Arabidopsis thaliana: one gene and its partner. Changing the gene in region 2 together with the main gene of any one other region gives a genetic interaction. Each region holds a gene or a part of one and is shown on either strand. Other genes may lie near its edges. The genes, in order: GL2 and MYB23.

What was found.
Region 1: of MYB23 (region 2) and GL2, changing one enhances a phenotype caused by changing the other (phenotypic enhancement), as found in Arabidopsis thaliana (one study listed by BioGRID).

What each region holds. Positions count from the first base shown.
Region 1 is NC_003070.9:30,035,296-30,042,244, reverse strand, and holds GL2 (HD-ZIP IV family of homeobox-leucine zipper protein with lipid-binding START domain-containing protein), read right to left. Parts: upstream 5,290-6,949; 5' UTR 5,153-5,289; coding exon 5,095-5,152; intron 4,870-5,094; exon of another isoform or gene 4,749-4,869; coding exon 4,642-4,748; exon of another isoform or gene 4,540-4,641; coding exon 4,265-4,539; intron 3,629-4,264; coding exon 3,511-3,628; intron 3,428-3,510; coding exon 2,891-3,427; intron 2,802-2,890; coding exon 2,697-2,801; intron 2,603-2,696; coding exon 2,212-2,602; coding exon of another isoform or gene 2,156-2,211; intron 2,129-2,155; coding exon 1,857-2,128; intron 1,773-1,856; coding exon 1,686-1,772; coding exon of another isoform or gene 1,656-1,685; intron 1,613-1,655; coding exon 1,232-1,612; 3' UTR 805-1,231; downstream 1-804. Other genes in the region: ROPGEF12 (RHO guanyl-nucleotide exchange factor 12), read left to right, coding at 1-73; RPS17 (ribosomal protein S17), read left to right, coding at 323-772. UniProt on the Arabidopsis thaliana protein: Transcription factor involved in the determination of epidermal cell identity. Required for correct morphological development and maturation of trichomes. Regulates the frequency of trichome initiation and determines trichome spacing.
Region 2 is NC_003076.8:16,125,649-16,130,336, reverse strand, and holds MYB23 (myb domain protein 23), read right to left. Parts: upstream 2,613-4,688; 5' UTR 2,489-2,612; coding exon 2,356-2,488; intron 2,227-2,355; coding exon 2,097-2,226; intron 1,266-2,096; coding exon 869-1,265; 3' UTR 676-868; downstream 1-675. UniProt on the Arabidopsis thaliana protein: Transcription activator, when associated with BHLH2/EGL3/MYC146 or BHLH12/MYC1. Regulates the epidermal cell fate specification. Mediates the formation of columellae and accumulation of mucilages on seed coats.

The DNA of each region.
Region 1 (6,949 bases), on a different chromosome or scaffold from region 2:
CGTCGTCACGACCAAGAAGACCTCATACCTCGAAACCCTAGGCGGTGTCAAGAGTCCAACGGCACGGCATTGATATTTGTGTGGAAAATTAGGCGCAAAAAAGAGCGAAGACAGATTTATTGATTATTTAATTATTTTTAGGATTCAAAAACTTTACAAAAGGGCTTTTGTAAATTCCTTTTTATGAAAAGGTGGGCTTTTAAGATTAGGCCCAGTTTATTGTAAAACCCATTTACCATCTGTATACTGTATACATCCCTTCTAAATAGTAGTAGTACTCACCTTATCTTCATTTTCATCGATTCGATTCCAAATCGGAAGGATGATAACGTCGTCCCTAACCTCATCTCTGCAAGCTCTCAAGCTTTCGTCTCCGTTCGCCCATGGCTCCACTCCTCTCTCATCTCTCTCTAAGCCCAATTCCTTCCCGAACCACAGAATGCCCGCTTTAGTTCCGGTCATCAGAGCCATGAAAACGATGCAGGGGCGCGTGGTGTGCGCAACCAGTGACAAGACTGTGGCGGTGGAGGTGGTGAGGCTGGCTCCCCACCCCAAGTACAAGAGGCGCGTGAGGATGAAGAAGAAGTACCAAGCTCACGACCCCGATAATCAGTTCAAGGTTGGCGACGTGGTCAGACTGGAAAAGAGCAGACCCATCAGTAAGACTAAATCATTTGTGGCGCTTCCTGTCATCGCAAGGGCCGCCAGGAAAGCCGAAGCCGGAGGAGATGAACTCCTTGGCCTTCCCTTGGAGTCTCAGCAGCCGGCGTAGAGAATGATTGCTCTTTGTTTCTTTTGGTAAAGCCGTCTTTTTTTTGCTCTGCTTCTGTTTGTTTGTTGTGTATCCCGGAACCAGTGTAATTTATGGAATGCTTTTGTGATTTCATTGCTTATGCCATGAGTGTGTTTTCAATCTGATTGTTTCCGACTACCAATTGTTTGCTCTTACTTCATCTTCACCTCCAGTTACATTTAGAATGTGAATTAATATGTTTCTGTTGCTACTGTGTGCTTGTGGTCTCAGTGATCCGACTTTTGTTTCTGCTAATTCTACGGTTCTTGCTCCTCTTGTTATGGTTCATTTGCCAATGGAATGGACCAAAAAGGTGTTGGATAATAATAGGATTGGAGAAGAGAGAGCTGGTCGTTTTTGTACAAAACTTTAATGCACTGCTGCTATACATTATCATATAATTATATATAGGTAAATAATATCTGCTGTGACTTGTCATCAGCAATCTTCGATTTGTAGACTTCTCTTAATGTTGTGTAGTGTGACTGAGACGAGGTTTGTCACGGATTCCACAGACTCCATATTCAGCTTTGCTGCAGGAGAAGGGTTGATGAGGGTTTGGAGGGCGAGTGTCAGGAGCGACCCTCCTTGGCTGTTTCTGTCGTCTTGTGTAGACGTTATTACCAGTGGCCGTGACTCTACTCCATCAGGTATGATTGAGAATCCAGAGGGGAGGATTTGGATGTTGCTTGGATCATGTCCCGCGAGCACCAGCTGTGTCGTGTTTATATCTACGGGAGCGTATACCACCACCGACTCATACGAGTTAGTGCTGCTGTCTTGCAGCACCCATATGCTCTTTTCTCTCGATTTCACTGTCTGGAAATGTATAGAAATTCAGATTATCAAGGCCTAGACAGATTTAGAGGAGGAGAAGACAAAATAAACGCACCTGGATTGCCACTGAGTTGCCTCTGTCTTGTCCCTTGGATAAGTTTGCAATAGACTGAACATGAGCTCCGTTTGACAAAGCATCCCACTGATGATATGTATCGTTAGATAAATATATGAGTGGAAACCGCTTTTCTTGTTTGCTTAAATGTGTGTGAATTTGACAAGGTACCTCATGCCGACGAGCTTCATCTCTAAAGAAATCGAAGAGAAGAGCTGGAGAAACAGGTAACCACAGCGAAGAAGAAGCGCAGACAATGACTCCCGTGGGCTCGCCAGGATCATGAAGGTTCTTCCTGGAAGAAACCCGCATGTCTTGTCCAGTTTTGGTGGTGATTTTGGTCCATTGATGGTAGCTTGATGCAGCAATGGCGCGGTAGAAGCTTTGTGTCATTCTCTGAGCCATCTTCAGCACACTCTTTCTCCCGGCAAGAGTTGTAACTCCTGATTATCAACAGAGGAGTGAAAAGGTTATATATAAAGAAAGATAGAGAGTGTAAATGGAGGATCCGGATATATAGACGGACCGAGAGAGTCTTTGGTGGGGACGTTGGTAGCCATGAAGAAGACAAGGCGTTCGCAATGGAGCTGAAGGGTGGCGACCCAGTGTCGAGCCCCAAAGGCCAAACCGGTGTTGACTAAGGAGCGGAAGAGAGGCTGAACTGTGGATGCAGACACGTCGAGGTGCTCCACCCAGGTGACCTTGGAGTGACCGTTGGAGGTGTCCTCGATGATGCAACCGGAGGGGAGTTTTCGACATTTCAGAAGAGAAGCCTCCTTCTCCGTGTTGCTGTCCTCCACGGAGACCGAGACGTCCACTATTGCCCATTTCTCAGGGCTCAGCTGCCGGCAGCTTCTCACGAAGTACACTTCTCTTGTGGGGACGACCGGAGTGAGCAGCTGCATCTCTCCGAACATCTGCCACAATAGTTATAAACCATATCCATCCCATGTATCAGCTGAGTCGTCATTCATCAATTATCACTATATGTATATATTGATGAGTACTCACCAGCTGAATAGCCCCGTCGATCCGTGAAGGCCCTTCGCCTTGCCGGATAACATCGACCGTTGCAGCCTTTGAGATCAAGCATGCAAATGTCTCTTTCCATTGTCCCTGCGCGTTACACGTACACATCAATTCCTTTTTATACACATAGAATAAGTTATAGTAGCTGGTAACAGTAATAAATAATGGAAAAGTACCACGTCCATGAAACTCTGGGCAAGTTTATGTGCGTCCATAAACACAATCCCCGCATCTCTAGATGCTTCGATGGTTTTCCTTCCAGGAAACGAAGAGGCTTGCGCTTGGGGAAACTCCTTGAGGTACTCATCGTAGTTGAGAATCTCACGGCCAGTCTCAACGCTGCGGAGCCACATAGGTTCGCCTGAGGTGGCCATCTTCTGGAGTTCAAGGGTGGCTCGGTTAGAAATCTCGGCAATACGGGACTTCTCGAGGGCAAAGACGCCCGTGTAGAAATCGAGAGAGCCGAGACGGTGTTCTTGATCGTCGGAGCATGAAGCCTGCAGGGGATAGGGAGTGCGTCCAAGAGCTGCACGAAGCTTATCGAGCTCGGCTTTCAGTTTGGAGTTTTCGAGGTGGAGATCATCGGGGCCTCCTCCGCAGTTGGGGCAGGAGGAATTAGCCTTGGAAAAAGACTCCCTCATGGCTTTGTTTTCCTCTCGCAGCTTCTCTAGTTCCGCCTTGAGCAGGGAGTTCTCGTGCCGTTCTTGAATAGCCTGTCCATGCATGATTGATTCATAAACTATATATATACTACTATAGTCAGACAAAAATCCATATCACGTAAGATATACATTACCTTGATCTGTGTGCGGCGGTTTTGGAACCAGAACTTGACCTGGCGAGGGGCCAGCCCTAGTTGCTTGCTCAGCTGCTGTCTTTGCTTCTCGTCCGGATGTGGTGTCTCTTTGAATAGCCTGCAACGTCCTCAAATTCAGACATTTCTAAAAGATGAAAATCTTTACATGCAACTGAACCCTAACTAGGCATATGTATACTATTACTGATCAGCTTTAATTGTGATGAAACAAATTAACACTTTATTGTTTAAGCCTTTATATACGTTATAACGCGCATGTACCTACAGTCATGTCAGGAGAAGACGGGGAATAATAACGAGTAAGCGTCCGAAACCATATAAGCGCATTGAAACTAATGCTGGATCATATATCATCGATCGGCAATATATTTGTATGAATACATCATCTAAGTATATATATGTATGTGAAATTAATGGAGAATTGAAGGTGCGTAATTGAGAATTGCTCTTCAACGCAAGACACCTTCTCCTTCTTCCACTAATTAAGTACTACAGTATATACCGAAGAAAGGGATTAAAATCATAATTACTTATAAAACATCAAGAAATATGAGCACCGGAAAAAACAACTAATGAATGTTTCTTGATAGAAGCTAGCCCTAATGAATCGGAATCCCCTAATTAAGTGTTTTAATTTGTGAAGCATAATTATTAAGTTTATACTTATTAAAAAGTGGGGTGGGGGGTTTAATTAGTTAGCTAGGTAAGGATGGAATAATTATATCGAACGTACGCTTCCATGTGTCTGATCTGATCGGTGGTGTGACGATGATACTTCTTCCTCTTTCTCTTATTAGTGCCCTTGTTTCCAGCTGCGCCGTCCTCCTCTTCCTCCTCCTCATCGTCGTGATCCTCACCCTCCAAATCCTCCTCTGATCTGGATCTCGTGGGTCCTGAGTTCTCGCTGCTCATCTCCACAGTGCGATCCTCATCGTCAACTACTCTTCTGCCCAGGAAATCCTCCTCAGGGTTGGTGCTGCCGGAGGATGCATTCCGGAATATCCCAGCCTGTATATATTCCTATCTCCATTAAAATCAAGACATATATATAATATATGTTTATGTGAGAGCTAGCAAGTACATGTATGTAGAAAAGAGAGAGTAGTATACGAGAGATAGAGAGAGGGCTGGAGAGGAGAAAAAGTCTTTGGTGGGTTGTTTGGAAGACATGTCGACGGCCATTGACATACAAATCCTGTCCCTAGCTAGCTTCTTTGCTTAATTATGATCTCTTCCCTCTTCTCCTCGCACTCCTTCTTCCTTATATATTATCTCTCTTTTTTTCTTTCTTCTTTAATTACTTATACACCAAAATGTACTTTCAATTAATATATAAGCTAAGATCGATATATATATATATATATATATATATAGCCTCTTCAATTCCAATGATACATATATATATAAGCGGTCGTTTTTCAGATATTTCTTCCATTTCTCTACTGCTCTTGACTTTTAGGTGCTTCTTTTATAATTAATTAGTTTTAATTAATTAATACCTATTATATTATTATATTTAGTCCTTTTACGGTTTTATATATTTTGGCTATACTTCAATCCGACAATTGAGTAGTTTAAAACATGGCCAGCTACAGCATTGGCAGCCATCGATCGACTTCATTTTTCTTCTTAATATTCGATTTTTAATATATACATATATATATGATGAGCAAAATTCAAATTTGAATTATGGAAAATATATCAGCCTTCCAATTTCAGCTACTAACTTTAATATGAATTATGTTGGAATGATATAAAGGATTGAGAAGAACTTGAACATATATACAATGAAGCCATATTGAAACATGAGCAAATTATCCGTTAAAAGTAGTACATAATGGCGTTGCTATAGATTACTGTAGACAGGGGGGGAAGGAATGAGAATAAGAAGGAAGGGTTACAATTGCATGATTGATTTAAGGGTATAAAAACAAAAAAGACGAACTTCTCTGTCTCTTCTTTAATTGAATTGTGTGTATAGACTAGAGAGAGAGAGAGAGAGAGACATATGTGTATGTCAGATTTCTTAATTGTTTTCTCTAGAGAGAGAGAGAGTTGACCGTTAGATACTGAGATGGACTCAACTAACTTTTAGCACCTAATTCTCCAACCGCATTTTCTGCTTTCTTCTTCCCTCCTTAATTATCCTCTCATTACTCTTATTATGACTTGTGTATTTATTTATTACTATATACTACTACTTATGATTTATTATTGTGATGATCTCTTCTTTCAAACAATTGGTAACTTATACAAAACGCTATCATCACATCTTAATTTAAGATATGGCTTAATAAGAAACCCTATCTATTAATCATATATACTTTATTATGTAAACTTGGCTCTATTAGTATAATTGCGTCAGGATTATAGGAAACTGGGACTCTGGGAGAAGCATATATATATATTTGATAAGAATTAGCATATACAATATATGGGTAAGAGAGAGTTACTAACAGTATATTGCAGCGCTACATGGAACCCTAAATTGCTTGAGACTTGTCCTCTTCCAATATTTTTATAAAAACTAATGGGATATCTATATTCCTGGATTAATCCCAATCGAATCTAATACACTGACTAGTATAGTAGGGGTATGTACGTAGCAGTATTAGGAAAACAATTAGACTAACGGTAAAGGCAGGAAAGAAGAGTTGTTGAATATAAGTTAGAAAGTTAAAAAAGAATTCGGATAGAGAAAGTTTAGAAGACGTACGTAAGCAGAGAAAATTAATTCAACAAATGTAATTCAGCAGCGGAAAGAGACGTCGAAATTTATTTTATTTTTATTTGTTGTTGTAAAAAAAGAAAAAGGTCAGCGAGAGGCATTGACCGATCGTTACTCATTAATTTCAGCGACCTTAAAAGGAAATGAATGCTCTTTATGGGTTTGCCTCCAACCCCTTTCCAATTCCTCCACCCTCTCTTTATTACTTACTTTCCTATTCACTATACGCATCTCCCTCTCTCTCTATATCCACCATATATACATTTTATAATGCCACCTGGACACATGTGTATGTGTATGTTGTTTTAATATTTGACAAAATTTGAAATTTTGATCATCTTATTGTATCACGGGCACGTCAAGATTTCAAACATTGATTCATATTATCGTATGCATACACCATGACATATTATTGCAAGATATATCTCAACAGTTACATTGTTAACAATATAGATATAGTAGCTTAAACCGTCCGTATAATACGTACGTAAATGGACGAAGACGTATAGTGAAGGAAACTTAGGTCTTTAATAAGATATATAATGGTATAACTGTAGCAGATGATTTATCTACAATTCAAAAGCTTTATCAGTTTCTTTTGTTTTTTTCTTTGTTAGTCGTCGTACGGCCTAGGGAATTGTTAGTTAGGAAAGGTAGATACATAATGTATAGAGAGGGAAGCAACCATAA
Region 2 (4,688 bases):
TTGGCTTCTTCAACTAACTTTCAAATTCCAACGTACGAGGTCTGGTCTTATCTAAAGTATGAATATGTATGATAGATTAATCGTCATTGATTTCAGAACTCTAACATTAGTCAATGTAATTAATGTATAATTAAGAGACACAAAGAGCCTAACCTGACAAGACCTCATTCATTTTATAAAAATCTTACAAGCGGGTGATACGTAGAATCAAGGCTTGTAACAGCTGGATTATCTCGGTTGACCATATTTGTTGACTTAAAATGAAAAAATTTCCGACCTTATGCAAGCGAAGATTATATTTTACTCTCCTTTTATCATTTTAGATTTTCTCACATATTAAAACTATACCATTTATTTATAAATGTTCGAGTATAAATCATTATTAGAAAGATGCCAAACTAAATGATACAGTATAAATTAGATATTGGTAGTCTGTATTTTCCACTACACTAAAAGTTAGGATTGACCTTTTTTTTGGAGAATCCAGAATTAGATATAGAAACCAAGAGTTAGTTTTCACAGCTGAAAATGCACTAGTTATCACTTTAATTTGATTAAGTTGTTCTTTTCTGTACAAAATACGGAAAATCTTATGTGAACGCCAATGTACGAATGAAGTAGAAGTATAAACACTTAACTTGTAAACTAATAGGATATTTAAGTTGGTTACATTAGGGACATAACCAAATAACTTTCTAGTATAAGATTTTTTTATCAACTGATCATCCTTACTTTTACAAAAGAAAGTACAAAAGCTACAAGCAAATATTCGGAAAAAAATTTAATTGTATTCATATTATTATTATTGTTCATTATAATCTATTATTCGATAATTAATTACTTTTTAGAAGCTAATCATCAAAGATATTCAAAGGCAATACCCATTAGTAAAATCCATCATAGTGAGTGAACTAAGCTCGAAGTCGTCTTCAAGAACCCAAAAGGTATCGAACAGATTTGGAACCGTAGCTGCAACTTCTACGTCAGTTGGTGTTGCGTGGACTAGTTTGGATTTTGGTTTGAGTTTGGATTCGTCAACTAAAGTGTCGAACCTTAGAGTTGAATTTTTTCCACCGGAGATCTCTTGATGAGAGGAGGACGTTGTGGTTATAAGGGCCATAGACGGTGGAGACTCTACACCGCATGCGGCTTTGACGGCAGTTGAATGATCTCCGAGACCAAGTTTCTTGCTGAGATGTGTGTTCCAGTAATTCTTTACTTGGTTGTCTGTTCTTCCCGGAACTCTTTTCGCTATCAACGACCATCTAAATATTAAAAGAATTTACGATGTTAGATTAATATTTTTATTTGTGGTCTCTTAATCTTCAATTATAATAAATAAATATTGTATTATACACTATATGGATTTTCGAATGTGCTATAAATATGTGGCAAACTTTTGAAACAAGAAATCTTGTAAAACGGAGTTAATGCTTATGCATGGACCTATATAGAGCATGTGCGTAATACATGTAGCCAGATTATGTATGTTGTAGATGTTTATATGAGACATGTGTATATATATACAGATGATCCATAAATGAGTACAATTATGAATCATTGTTAGGTTCGAGAAAGCATATTTTTTGAATAGAAACCTAGCTATACAAATTAATGGCCGAAAAAACAAAGGACAGATCTAAGATTTTTGATTCAAATTTACGATCCGTTTCTTACTACTATTTTTGAATAACCATTATTTGCTTTGTGGACGTTTGTAAATAGTAGCTTAATAAAATACACTTATTTTATGAATAAATGAATATAATATATCAGTTAAATATAAGTAATCTATATCACAACTAAACAATTTAGAGATGTTTCAACCAAAAATAAATAAATAATAATAAACAATTTAGAGATTACCGTGAACTAAGGATCGAACAACAAAACATATATTATAAATATATAAATTATGGATTAGATATATGTGATATATAGCTAGCAAGCTGTACACATATAAACAATTTAAAGATTCACGTGAATGCAGCACCGAACAACAAAACACATGATCTAACATATATAATACTATTAGAATTGTATAAAAGAAAATTAAGCAAATATATATCTTTGAATATATGGAGAAAAAAAAGAACCTGTTGCCGAGGAGCTTGTGGAGTCTGATGATGAGATCTTCTTCTTGGTCAGTAAAATTGCCTCTGTTAACATTAGGGCTTAAGTAGTTCATCCATCTCAACCTACAGCTTTTCCCACATCTCTTGAGCCCTAATTATCATCAAAAGTTTCAATCTTTAGTACTAATTTTTATTTCTTAGGACAAGAAAGAGAGAAGTAAGAGCAAGTATACCAGAAGAAATAAGAGAGTACTATAATAGAAAGAGAGAGTATAAATACCAGTTTTCTTGGCGATGCGGTTCCAGTGGCCCTGGCCATGAGTTCGGACATAATCCATGAGGATCTTGTCTTCTTCCACTGTCCATAAACCTTTCTTGTATTCATGTTCTTTTCCATCTCTTGTCATTCTCATTCTTCTTCACTTTTCTTGATCCCGAGGAGAGAGAGAGAGAGAGAGAGAGAGAGAGAGAGAGAGAGAGAGAGAGAGAGAGAGAGAGAGAGAGAGAGAGAGAGAGAGAGAAAGTGGCTGAGTCGGTGATGATTAGTCGAGCCTGACTCTATATATATATATGATTCGTGTGACGTATATATTGTTTTGTTTACATGTATATGTGCGTATATATATATACGTAAGGACATGTTTGTTTTGTTTGCTGTTGTCTCTCCAAAAAGTCCGTATATGGTAAAGTCAATCCCTACATTCTTTTACCAATAAGTCAACCTAACGAAATTGATTTAACCATTTAAACGGGTGTAGATATAGACAACATGTTCTTCTTACTAATATATGAGAGAATTCATCAAATAAAATAAAGTATAGTATTAGTTAGTTGTGGCAAAGTAAAAATATGTTTTTATCAAAAAAGGAGATAGAGGATTTGAAGAGTTTGTTCTCAAATTGATTAATAGATGGATTTAGTAGGGAAACTATATAAAGAACTGGAAGGGCTTGTTGACTCTCTATCTTGTTGGTTTTGGTTGAACAATACTAAAAATATGTGATCCGAATAAACTCAATATTCCTCAACTATTAGTTGAAAACGGTGTACTATGTTTCTTCTATTGTATATTTTCTTATAAGAAAGATTTGGAAACGCTTTGCCTAAAAATTAAAAATCTAAAATTTAGTTGAGATTTAAGAGCAAAAACGTCCACGTAAAATTGTGGTGTGTGTTAACACCCGTTAGAAAAATATTTTATTGATCTAACGAAATAATTTACTTCATATTCCGAGTTTCAAATTTCTTGCTCGTTATAATTTACCAAAAGTTATAAATTAAATTAAATTTGTATTATATTTTTTTGTAACACTATATATCTATATCTGTTTCCTTACTTTTTTACACCTGTTTTACATATGTTATACTCAAGCCTCACATTTTGTTTTTCATTTTAAAAATGTATTGATAGTAAATATGTTTTGAAAGAAAAATCTGGGATTTATTTATAACCAAATTTATCCATATCTAATAAAGTATGTAAAAACTGTAACAAGATATGTCTAGGTAGACATGTGTATCCCAACTAACAAGTTAAGTAGAAGTGAAAATTGAAAAAAAGGAAGGTAATTACTATTGGACACAATAATATTCCCTTGGGATAGACAGTAGGCAGTTTTTACTTTTTATATTAATACCAAACATAGAAGATCCTCTGGCTCATCCAGCTAAGATATGTCAATATGTCATGTGTGTATATGTTCATATGAGTATTATTTTTTGGATCGGATCCCAATGGAGGGAGTTGAAGTCGATATATATAGTATGAAACAGGAAAATACAACTTTGACAACAAAAAATATAATATACGAATATAGTCTGTATATAATAGTTTTGTTCAGGAAATAGGAATACACAACTTTGACAAAAAAAAACAAAAACAAAAGAGTTTAACATGTAAAATTTGCTTTAAGAATAGTTACTATTCTCCAAACAATGTTATCAGTTATAAGTTATAACTAAACTATAGAATTAAACATCTTTGATACAAAAACATAAGTATCCGTGATACCAAACTCTAGACAGTAATGTAATATGATAATCACTACACTAAATATATTATGTCGGGCATATGAATTATGTACGTCTATAGATTATAGCTTCCACTTGATTTAGCCTACTTTTATTAGTTTTATGGATAATTAATGATATAGGACCTATAGATCCTTTTAATTCCAAAACTTACTTTCAGATCAACCCAACTAGTTGATGTTGATCATCTAATCTATTAATTAACTACACTAACATTCGTATTTCATACATTGTATTCGTAAAGTCCTATAGACTAAAAAATAAGCTAAGCAATCTTAATTCTCTACTAGGTTTTGACATTGCATGGGATAAAATTTTCAATAAACATAAATTACTATATTAAGAAATGGTATCATAAATATGATATTATATAATCATAAAGGATCTTCCTAAAATATTTCATGAGAGAAATTTCTCCAAAATAGGCATAATCTTAAAGTATATATCCAAGAACAACTATACCCTTTTATAATCTTTATTTTGTTATTTACTAAAATATAATTTCCTTTCTTAAATGCATTTGTCAAATGATACTTTAGTTATATATTATTAGAAAAAGAAAAAAAAAATAGAAATTAACCA